3 linked regions of the Alligator mississippiensis genome follow. The protein of the gene in region 2 purifies or fractionates together with the protein of the main gene of each other region. This does not show direct contact. Links are inferred from orthologs where the notes say so. Each region holds a gene or a part of one and is shown on either strand. Other genes may lie near its edges.

The links.
Region 1: the proteins of PHLPP2 (region 2) and NHERF2 purify together in Homo sapiens (affinity purification with mass spectrometry; 3 studies listed by BioGRID and IntAct, with this or other methods). This does not show direct contact. The link is inferred for Alligator mississippiensis from reciprocal best matches to the Homo sapiens genes PHLPP2 and NHERF2.
Region 3: the proteins of PHLPP2 (region 2) and NHERF1 purify together in Homo sapiens (co-immunoprecipitation; 3 studies listed by BioGRID and IntAct, with this or other methods). This does not show direct contact. The link is inferred for Alligator mississippiensis from reciprocal best matches to the Homo sapiens genes PHLPP2 and NHERF1.

Annotation. Positions count from the first base shown.
Region 1 is NC_081836.1:57,480,487-57,484,226, reverse strand, and holds the start of NHERF2 (Na(+)/H(+) exchange regulatory cofactor NHE-RF2), read right to left. Parts: upstream 2,535-3,740; 5' UTR 2,518-2,534; coding exon 2,074-2,517; intron 1-2,073.
Region 2 is NC_081833.1:77,620,553-77,624,292, forward strand, and holds the start of PHLPP2 (PH domain leucine-rich repeat-containing protein phosphatase 2), read left to right. Parts: upstream 1-1,466; 5' UTR 1,467-1,470; coding exon 1,471-1,545; intron 1,546-1,666; coding exon 1,667-1,887; intron 1,888-3,740. UniProt on the Homo sapiens protein: Protein phosphatase involved in regulation of Akt and PKC signaling.
Region 3 is NC_081831.1:11,681,976-11,685,715, reverse strand, and holds the start of NHERF1 (Na(+)/H(+) exchange regulatory cofactor NHE-RF1), read right to left. Parts: upstream 2,345-3,740; 5' UTR 2,287-2,344; coding exon 1,891-2,286; intron 1-1,890. UniProt on the Homo sapiens protein: Scaffold protein that connects plasma membrane proteins with members of the ezrin/moesin/radixin family and thereby helps to link them to the actin cytoskeleton and to regulate their surface expression. Necessary for recycling of internalized ADRB2.

The sequences.
Region 1 (3,740 bases), on a different chromosome or scaffold from region 2:
AGGGAAACAAACAAACACCATGAAAATGTCCAAAAACGTCAACTTCCCGAGCTTGCAACAACCGTGAACAGACTAAGGATCTTTGCTACGGGTCATTTCAGTGCTAGAGGTAAAAGGGTTATTAGCTCAAAGGCCACTGTGCTGAAGAGAATGGGAAAACCCGTGGAGTCCAATACCCTGGTATTGCCCTTTATTCCGGCACCCTGGTATCACTTAGGGCAAGGAGCACCAGAAAATATTGGGCATTTTGTCCTCAAGCATAAGGATTGCCAGCCTCATGACGTCATCCTACCTGCTGAGATCCCAAATGCTAACTTTATTTGTCGAAACACTGAATATTTTGAAATCTGCTGGGCTATTTGCAAGGAGAAGGAAACATGGAGAAGATGACAGGCCCCTCGTTTCACTTACGCCACGCAACTAGAAAGCCCACACATTTCAGACACGTTAAATCACCCATCATCACCCCATCAGATTTTCATACGAAGAGCCCTGACACTTCTCCGATGGGAAATGCAGCTCCATATGTAACAGGAGCTCCCTTTTCCTCCCAGCAATTAGAAGAGAGGAAGAGATGGAGCCTGACTCGATTCCAAATCAGAACGAAAGGGCTCGTGTTCACTTTTGCAGAGGGTGCTCGGCTCGCCTGGGTCTGTTTTACTAATGAACAAACAATAAGAGCCAAATCCAGTGTGGGTGTCAGCAAGCTCAACTCCATATTGCAGCACTACCGAGACCACAAACTGCTCCAACGCCCTGCACCGGTTTTCAACCTTATACTCAGGGCCCCTTGCTGGACTCTGGGCACTCCTGGCCCTCCGAAAATGCCAGCTCTTAGCTTTCACTTGTTTCTTGACCACCAAAAAAAAGTTGCAAAAAAAAAAAAAAAAGCCCACACCAGGGCAGGACGTTTTTGATATTACTTAAAATCTCTGGGTTTACCTTGTGAATCATGCATAGCTGTCTGCACCCCTAATATTGCACCACGCTGTGTGCCACCCTTAAAAGGACCTCACAGCTGGCACCCTGGCTGGAGAGATCACTGCGCCAATGAGTTGATCATCAAGCACCCATGCCTCTAGGACCCACTAGCAGCAATTCATCACCGAAGCCCACTATCCCAGTCATCCCGGGCGGTCCCTGAAGCATGCAGGAGACAGACCAATACCTGACAAATGCAGCACGCTTCCAGGGGGTCCCTGCCATATACTTTAAGCTACGAATATATTCAAGCCCCTACTGCCCTAAACAGATAGCCACACAGAACTGCTCAGCACCGAGCCAGCAAGAGATCTCGTCCCCACCGTTATGTGTCCAGTTCAATCTGCAATCAACAGAAATCCCCATTTTACCCTAGTAACAAGCGCCGAACATTTGCCTCGGGGGCGGTACATTTTTTCCAACTATTTGAGCTGATCTAATAAAAGAGCTCGGACTGACCCAAAGAACCTCATCTGAACATTTGCCTAGCCTTTCCCCAGCCCCCTGCAAAGGTCAGGGGTTTGCCCCGCTAGGCAGGGAGCCCCACGGTCGCAAAAACAGAGCCAGAAACCACCCTGTCTCCTCATCCTAACCCTCCTGCTGAGGCTCCCTGCACCTCTTCCTTGATGCCCTCCCCACCAAGTCCCGGGACTTGCTGGCCGGCTCCTCCTGGCCGTAGCCCAGCCAGGCATCAATGTGAGCTGGTTCGGAGGACCCCAGGACTGTGGTGCAATTCTCCGGACCTCCTGTCCAGCTCCTCCTAGCCCTAACCCAGCGGGGCATCTATGTGAGCAGGAAGGGGGCTGGTTCGGAGGACCCCAGGACTGTGGTGCAATTCTCCGGACCTCCTGTCCAGCTCTTCCTGGCCCTAGCCCAGCGGGGCATCTACGTGAGCGGGCAGGGGGCTGGCTGGGAGGACCCCAGGGTTTTAGGGCAGTTGTCTGGACCTCTAGTCCAGCTCCTCCTGGCCCTGGCCCCGCAGGGTATGTCCGTGAGCAGGCAGGGGCGGCTGGGAGGACCCCGGGACGTCGGGGCTGGGTCCGGGTGCTGCCCTGAGACCCGTGCGGGCCGGGGCGGGGGCCGGGGCCGCACCTGGTGATGCGTCTCCTTGTCCACGTTGACGCCGTTGACCTCCACGACGCGGTCCCCGGCCCGCAGCGCCGCCGCCTCGGCCGGGGAGCCGGGCTCCACTTTGCGGATGAACTGGCCGCTCTTGCCCTTCTCGCCGTGCAGGTGGAAGCCGTAGCCCTGCTCGCCCTTCAGCATGTGGCACAGCCGCGGCTTCAGCTGGTCCTTGGCCATGGCTCCGCCGCCCCGACCCCGACCCCGACCCCGATCCCGATCCCGCCTAGGCGCGGGAGGCTGCAGATGGGGCCATGCCACCACCACCACCGCCGCCGCCGCTGCTGCTGCCCGGCTCCGGCTCCGGCTCCGGCTCCGGCTGCAGCGCCGCCTCCTCCCCGCGGCCGCCGGCGCCGAGTGACATTGCAGCGGAGCGGCGCCGGGGGCCGAGCCGGCTTTGCGCCTCCCCCTCATGCGAACGGGAACCTTCCAGAGCTGCGGAGGGGGAGCCGGGCCCCGCACCGCCCCGCACCTGCGGGCTTCACCCCCGGGCCTGGGCGAGCCGCCACGCATTGCATTGCATCCCATCCCCCGCACCTGCGGGCTTCACCCCCGGGCCTGGGCGAGCCGCCACGCATTGCATTGCATTGCATTGCATTGCATTGCATTGCATTGCATTGCATTGCATCCCATTCCCCGCACCTGCGGGCCTCACCCCCGGGCCTGGGCGAGCCGCCACGCATTGCATTGCATCCCATCCCCCGCACCTGCGGGCTTCACCCCCGGGCCTGGGCGAGCCGCCACGCATTGCATTGCATTGCATTGCATCCCATTCCCCGCACCTGCGGGCTTCACCCCCCGGCCTGGGCGAGCCGCCACGCATTGCATTGCATCCCATTCCCCGCACCTGCGGGCTTCACCCCCCGGGCCTGGGCGAGCCGCCACGCATTGCATTGCATTGCATCCCATTCCCCGCACCTGCGGGCTTCACCCCCCGGCCTGGGCGAGCCGCCACGCATTGCATTGCATTGCATTGCATCCCATTCCCCGCACCTGCGGGCTTCACCCCCCGGCCTGGGCGAGCCGCCACGCATTGCATTGCATCCCATTCCCCGCACCTGCGGGCTTCACCCCCCCCGGGCCTGGGCGAGCCGCCACGCATTGCATTGCATTGCATCCCATTCCCCGCACCTGCGGGCTTCACCCCCCGGCCTGGGCGAGCCGCCACGCATTGCATTGCATTGCATTGCATCCCATTCCCCTCACCTGCGGGCTTCACCCCCCGGCCTGGGCGAGCCGCCACGCATTGCATTGCATCCCATTCCCCGCACCTGCGGGCTTCACCCCCCGGGCCTGGGCGAGCCGCCACGCATTGCATTGCATTGCATCCCATTCCCCGCACCTGCGGGCTTCACCCCCCCGGCCTGGGCGAGCCGCCACGCATTGCATTGCATTGCATTGCATTGCATCCCCCTGGCTGGCACCGCGCTGCACCTGGGGGCTGTCCCCGGGGGCAGCAGAGGCGGAGGGTGGGGGCAAGGGGGTGAGCAGGGTATGGGGGTATTAAACAAGAGTGGGCACACGAGGCTCTTTGGGTGAATCCCGTGTCTTCTAGCACATTGTTTCTAAACCCGTGGTACGCATACCCCCACCCTGCCGTTGTCTCCTTTGCCCTCTTTCCCTGTCACTCGTGCCCT
Region 2 (3,740 bases):
TTCTCAGTCCTGGGCCATTCTTACAGCTCTTCTCGAGAAAGCATGTTGCTGCGCCACAGCCGGAGTGCGATGCCGTTCGGATGTCTGTTCCATGAGCCCTGCTGGAGACCGACTGGACGCCAGAGATGGGGGCACTTGGTGGCTCGCACCCTCCAGGAGCAGGGGAAGGAGAGGGGCACACTTTGGATCTTCATCCCTTGAGCCTGCTGATGTTGAGCACGCTCGTCTCCAGCTCTGCTGCTTTGAAGGAAATGGACTGCAAACCTGCGCTATTTCTCCTAGGCCCTGCCAGCGCCAAGCTTGCAGGGACCCGCCCTGCACACTCGGTCTCTGACCTCTTCCAGGACATAGACCTAGCACTGGACTGTGCCTGTTCCTGGAATGGTTTCCCTCCGCCTGCGCAAGTGCTTCGAGAGCAGGTTGTGCTGCTCTCCTCGAGACGGCTGGCAGAAGTGGCCCTGCTCGGCACGGGCTTGGGGAACGGCTGTCACCGTTTTGTTCAGACTGCTGGTCTCGGTGTGCCAGAAAATACAGCATAAACCCGGTGCGCTGTAGCTATGCTGGGTCTTTGCGGGCCGCGCCTGCCTGCCTGCCTGCCCGGCCGGCTGGCTCGCAGGGAGGGCTCGGGCTCGGGCTCAGCCACAGCCTGCAGCTCGGAGGAGGCTCCCTACGGCAGAGCTCGGCTGGAGCACGGACGAGGTGCGGCGAGCTGGCCCGGGCAGGTGCATCGGCAGCAGTGGAAACGCCGACGCAACCACCACGGGCGTCGGAGCTGGCCGTGCAGACAGCCCGCGCCTGGCACAGCTCTAGGCCAGCTCCAGCTCCTGCTCCTGCCTTGCTGCAGCCCGGGCGCAGCCTGCCCGGCCCCTTCCCGGAAGAGCAGTGGTGCCGGCGCACGAGGGCGGCGCGTGGAGGGCCGGCCCGCGCTCCCCCGCGGGGACGGATGCTCGCTGCCCTTCCCCGGGCCAGGCCCGTGGCCCGAGCAGCGCTGGGGGCTGCTCTCTGCCGCTCTGCGCCCGGCCCGGCCCGGCCCGGCAGCTCCCGCGGCGCCGTGTTCGTCGGGGCCGGGACGTCCCGCCAGGCGGGCCCTGCAGCAGCAGCAGCAGCAGAGCAGGCTGTTTGGCCGGCGCCCCGCGGAGCAGCGAGAGAGCCCGGCCGGGCGTGGGCGTGGGCGTGGGCGCGGCCCGGCCCGCGCGGGGGGTCTGCGGGCAGAAGGCGAGGGGGAGCGGACTGCTGTCTGACCGCCGGAAGTGGGTAGCGCTTCCGGCCCGGCCGGTCCGGGTCGTGCATGCTAATGAGGCGACGGAGGCGGAGTCTAGGTGGGCTGCCGGGCGGTGGGCGTGGCCGGCACGCCAGCGAGCCCGTGGGCGGGGCCAGGCGGCGGAGCTGCTGCCGGTAGGCTACAGGGGTGGGCGGGGCCGGGTGACGCGCGTTCGCGCGGGGCGGGGCCGGGCCGGGCCGGCCGGGCCCATGGAGGCGGCGGAGCCGGACGAGGACGAGGCGGGCGGCCGGGCCGGGCCCCGCGCGGGCCCGCGCCTGCTCAAGGTGCGGGGGCCGGGGCGGTGGTCGCGGGGGCGGGGCGGGGCGGGGCGGGTCCTGTCCTGCGCCCCCCACCCCCTCGCGCGGCGGGAGCCCTTCCCCGCGCTGAGCGCCGCTCTCTCCGCAGAGGCCGGCGCGGCGCCGCGGGAGCCGGAGCCGGAGCTGGCGGTTCGGGTCGCGGGAGCGGAGCTGGCTGCGGGAGGACGCGGCGCGCGGCTGCGTGAGCATCCAGGGCGCGGAGCCCGCGGCCGCCCCGCGCCTCGTGCTGTGCAGCGCGCACACGGCCGCCGCCGAGCTCTGCCCGCCGGGACAGCGCCTCTACCTGCAGCTGCACGGAGACCTGCTCAGGTGAGCCCGCCCCGCCGCGGGACGGGGGCTCGGCTCTCCAGGGCTCGGCGGGAAGCGTGCGCGGGCCGGGCCGGCTCCCCTCCCCTCCCCTCCTCTCCGCGCGCAGACCTCTCTGGCGGGAGCCGAGCGGCAGCGGGGAAGGGGCCAGGCGAGCGCGTGTCCCCGCGCCTGGCACAGTGGGGCTGGGGTGCCTGGTGTCCGCGCCGTGCCGCGCCCCCGGGGTTGTCGTCTTGTGGCCGTCGCCTCCGGACCACGCTGTCCTGGCGCCGGAGAGGAGCCGCTTGAGTCCCTGCAGTCTCCCCGTGAATCACGAGGGTTTCGGCCACTGCCGGGTCCCTTGGTCGCCGCGTCTGACGGTCCCGCCGCGAGGCCCCTCGGTGCAGCGGCAGCTCCTTGCGAGAGGAAACGGCCGCAACTTCGGTGCCGTTGCGTCGCGTGCGCGCGCTGTCAGCCAGCAGCCGGGGGGGGAGCAGCTGCCGTGGCGGGGAGGCGGGGGCAGGTTCGCAGTGCTGCACCCCTCCAGCCTCTTCCTTGCGCCTGTGGGGCGGCAGCCGGCAGCTCTGTCTGGGCCGGGGACACCTCCTGTTTTGCCTGGGAAGGCTGTCCGGACTGGCACAGCGCTACCGCCCTTCACTTGGGACGCAGCTGGCCGATGCCGGAGCGGCGTGGAGCAGATGGAAGAGGCTGAGCTCTGTGGGGGGCTGGAGAGCGCAGAGGGTGCCAGGCCCTGGCTTGTGCCTCGTCGCAGCAGCCAGGCAGGGCTGGCAGGGAGCAAAGGGCCTAGGCCCCGGGGGAGTTTGTGGAGAGGCTGAGAGCAGAGGCCAGGCCGGCGTGGCTCCGCTCCGCACAGCTCTGGTGACGTGGGAACGGAACGTGCTCGACCACGTGTTTCCTTACAGCGGGTCGGAGGCCCTGCCGCGAGGTACGTGATGTTTGCAGCCGGGAGGGGCTGGAACTGGGAAAGCAGCAGCTCGGAGACGGGCTTGTGGGTCCCAGCGGGGAGCACCCTGCACGTGGGCTCCCAGCGGCATGGCGGCGAGAGGGCGCGGTTCTGTGGGGTGCGGGCGGGAAAGCCAGGCGGCCGTGCTGCCTCAGCAGGCAGGAACCACACGCCCTGTGCTGGCTGCCCTGTCAGCGCATCCGCAGGGACGTCTCCATGCTGGAGGATGCTCAGCGAAGAGCGGTGTGTGCTGCTTGGCTGTCTGGCAAACCTGCCTGCCCCCAAGACCTCCGTGCACTCGCAGGAGAGGGGGAAAGGCAACTTTCATCGTGGGCTGTCAATACCAGCAAGGGAAACGTCCGTTAAGTCAGGAGAAGAATATAGCAAGGAGCAGTCGTGGGCAAAGGAAGCTAAGGAAACTCGGAGTAGGAGCAAAGGGAAGGCTTTACTGGTGAGGCTGGCTTGCCTGTGGGAGCAGTTGCCAGAGGGGAGTCGTCCTGACTCCAAGTCCTGTTGCTGTGGCTGGCGTCAGTCTCTGGGCTACTCTGGCTTGGGCAGAAGCCGGGGCGGGCTGCCAGGATCGCTCAGTGAGTCTCTGGCCTTTGCAGTGCAGGAGACAAGAGGAGAGCAGGGCTCCGCTCTGGCTCCGTCTGCTGTCATCCTGTGTTCTGGGGAGGCTGCTGCGTCCCATCCCCGGCGATCCCGGCACTGCTCTGGCCACCTCCTGCAGCTACAGAGATGTGCTTCATTGGGGATGACTCTTGAGTGTCTTGTTCCAGGAGTGCCAGACCAGTGTGACCAGCATGCTCTCTGATCTGCTGTGCTCTCAGCTGCATTCGAAGGGGAGGCGGGGGGCAGTTTGCACTGCGTGGCTGGGGCTGACTTGGAACGGGCAGCGGGAGCTTCACTGGGT
Region 3 (3,740 bases), on a different chromosome or scaffold from region 2:
TTATGCCCGTGCCCATAAACCCCATCTTAACCTGACAAAGGCTCCAATTTTTAGTTACCCCCGACCCTCTGCCAAAAAACCCCTTTATCATATGAATAGGGGACGCAGAAGCTAAGCTTGTCTTTATACACTGGAGATGGCAAGAGGTTAGCCCCACCAGCACAGAGAAGATATCACTCTGCCCTAGGGGTGAGAGACAACCTCCATCCATGCCTTTTATATACTCATTTGGAAAACTTGATAAGAAACTGGCTCCTTTGAGATGTATCATTATTTCAGCAATGCAGCAAGACAGAGGCTGCCACACTCTTGACAGTGGGCAGAGGGGAAAGCAGAAGTCCTACATCTATAATTAGCCCTGAAGATTATTAATAGAGACTAGGGAAGGTGTGTCTGTTTTCCTTCAGCACTTTGTGCAGCTCCTAGTACCACCCAGCCACTGGTTCTACACCGAGTTCCCAGGTACAAAAGCAACATTAATAGCTCTGAATCATCATCAGGCTTTCTTTTGTGCTTATTCTGTGGCTCTTCGTGTGCCACCTAGGCCCCTGCTATATATTACATATATTATGCAACTCACTGGTTAAACATGGAATAAGTTTAGACTGGTAACACGTGCAAAGTAAGACCGGGTACATGTGCGAAGTGATCATCACACAATTATCTGGTTAATGGTGCAACGAAGCTAGAGCGGCCACATGTGCAGAGTAATTATCACAAGATAAAAATGTCCATCCAACTACAAAAAAGAGCTAACAAGCTATAAAGTTAGTGCTTGAAAATATGTAAAAATTCTAGTGCTGGTTTCTAACCCGCTGTAATTTGAACAAGTAGCCTAGAAATCGACCTCTAGGCTCAGAGGTATCCAAGACACCAAAGGGAGACCATAGAAAATGAGGACTGGAAGGGACCACATCCAGTACAACCCCTGCTAGACCAGCCCCAACTACATCATCCCAGCCAGGGCTCTGTCTGGCCGGGTTTTGAAAACCTCCAAGGACGGAGCTTCCAGCACCGCTCTAGGTAACCCGTTCCAGCGCTCCACCACCCTCCCAGCGAGAAAGTTTTCTGTAATATCCAACTTAAACCTCCCCTGCTGCAACTTGAGACCCTCGCTCCTTGCTCTGTCACCACCGAGAACAGTCCAGCTCCTCCAGTCTAGATACGCAGCCTGGATTCTCGCACCTCTGCACCTTCCCTCCTTCTGATCTGCACCTCCCCTCTCCTTTCGGCAGGAAGCACATCGAGAAGACCTGGCTGCAAGTCCCCCCCGCACAGAGAACAGGTAAAGATGCGCTCTCTGGAAACGGCTGATTTCCAACCCTCTCCTTTCTCCCAGCAGGTCGGGCTGTTTCAAAAAGATGCCAGCACTGGGGCTGCCCGAGAACCGGACGCCCTTTTACTTTCAAACACACCGAACTTCACACGATCACCACGCTGGCAACCATTTCCTGACACCCTCTCTTCCCCCCACCGGTGCTGCCCGAACCTGGCACACTTTTGTGACCACTTCCTTGGCTATTCTGGAAAGCCAAGGCCGGCTTTCACGAGACCGCTGCGGGCACAGCCTGGCCTGAAGGAACCGGGCAGGCAGGAACCGAGGATTAGGCACAGGGGATCGGCTCATCCCAGGGCAGGGGGTTGGACTCGATGATCTAACAGGTCCCTTCCAACCCGAAAATCTATGCATCTATGCACATTTCCCCAGTCTCAGACAACCGGGGGACAGCAAACGCACGTCTACGCTGAGCACTGGCGGGCTGCACGCGCGCTGGTCCCACGGGTGCCGGGGAAGCTCTGCCTTGGAGCCCGCAAGGGGCAGAGCGGCCCCCCCGGGGGCAGCAGGGAGGGAGGGAGGGAGGGAGCAAGCGACCCCAGACCCGCACGCACCCGCTGCACCGGCTCCGGCTCGTCCGCCGCCTTCTCCTCCTCCTCCTCCTCCTCCTCCGCCGGCGGCGGCGGCTGCTGCTGCACCTCCTGGGCCGGGGCTCGCGGCTCGTCCGCGCTGGGGTCCACGACCAGCAGGCGCACGGCGCTGGAGGCGGCGCGGATGCGGCCGACCACCTGCTGGTGGCTGTCCTGCTCCACGTTGTGGCCGTTCACCTCCAGCAGGCGGTCGCCGGCCCGCAGCCCCGCGCGCTCGGCGGGCGAGTCCGGCTCCACCAGGCGGATGAACTGGCCCGGCTTGCCCTTCTCGCCGTGCAGGTGGAAGCCGTAGCCGCTCGGGCCCTTCTCCAGGCAGCACAGGCGCGGCGCCGCCCGCTCGCCGCCCGCCCCGTCGCTCATGCTGGCAGCGGGCTCCGCTCCCCCCGCGCCACGTGCGCCTAGCCCCGCCGCCGCCGCCGACTGCTGGCGATCCGCCTTCGGCACCGCCTTTTATAGCGGGGGCGGGGCCGCCGCGAGGAGCCAATCGCAGCTGGGAACCCAAGAGGCTCTGGAACCCGCAGCGAATCCGAGACACACCTCCCCTGGGCGGGGTTATGCAAATGAGAGAAGCTGAGGCCCCGCCCCCAACGATTGGGGCACCAGCCCCCTCGGCCTGCTGGCTTCTGGGGGGCCACTCCTCCTTGCTCGCTGGGTTTCCCTGCTGCCGGGGCGCCCCCTGCAGCCTCTTCTCCGCCTCCTCCGGGTGGGGGGGGCAAACCAGGCCACACTTTAGGTGTCCCCAATTTTTATTCTTCTATTTGGGGGCAGGGGGATGTAGTTTCCACAAGTTTTCGCATTTTAACACTCGGCTATTTATGTAAATCCTTCTGCCTTTTATAGGCGAAGATCCTGCTCTTCTGGTTCAGTCCCTGCCGAGGTGCAGCAGCGTGAAGCCCCATTTTTGGAAAAGGGGGGTTTCCTGCCTTGCTTGCTGCGTGTAGGTGATGGCTGAGAAGGAGCAAATCTCGGGGGCGTCCGAACTCCCCCAGGCTCCGGGCTTGGGCCTGTACATAGGACGCCCACCAAAGGATTTGGAAACATCTGGAGCCCCAGGTGTGGGTGGCGGGTGTTTGCCAGTAGTAGGGCCACTTATGGTTTTAGACTCTTGGATTTGGGATTGGTTTTGGCTAATCTGGCCTCGGAAACAAATTTAAAAAAAAAATCCCCCAAAGACTAGTAAAAAGGTCCATGATGCAACTGTGGTGGGTTAATATTGACCTCTAAGGGGCCCTGAATGACTCTTGCCCAGGGCCCCATTAACCCTAAGGCCGACACTGCTCCAAGACCTGCTGCTGAGGCTCTGGCTGCATGACCCCCTGCCCCCTCCTTGCACCTTTTTTCTTTACACGTCCCCGTTCATGGCTCCACCAAGTCCTCTTGGTCAACCTCCTCCGGGTCCTGGTCAATCTGGCCACAGAATCGGAGACCACGAGGGTTGGGAGGTCACATCTAGTGATTCGAGTCTATCCCTGTGCTCAAAGCAGGACCAGCCCCAACTACATCGTCCTAGCACGGCTTTGTGTAGCCGGGCCTTAAAAACCTCCAAAAGCTTTTACAGTTTTAAAAACCCCACTGTCTATTGGACGTGGAAAGAGGCTTTGGCTGGGGGAACCCCCGGGGATTGCACAGCCCCCTTCCCGTTCCTGTTCTGTTCACATCTCCAAGCACAGTTTCGCTGAGCAGCGTCCGCTGGCTCCTTGCACACGCTCAAGGGCTGCTGAGCACTGGCCGGCACGCTCTGCTCGCTGTCTCCCTTCAGTAAACTCATTTCAGACCTTTGACCTTCGCCCTTGTCCCTGTTTTGCAGGCCCTCT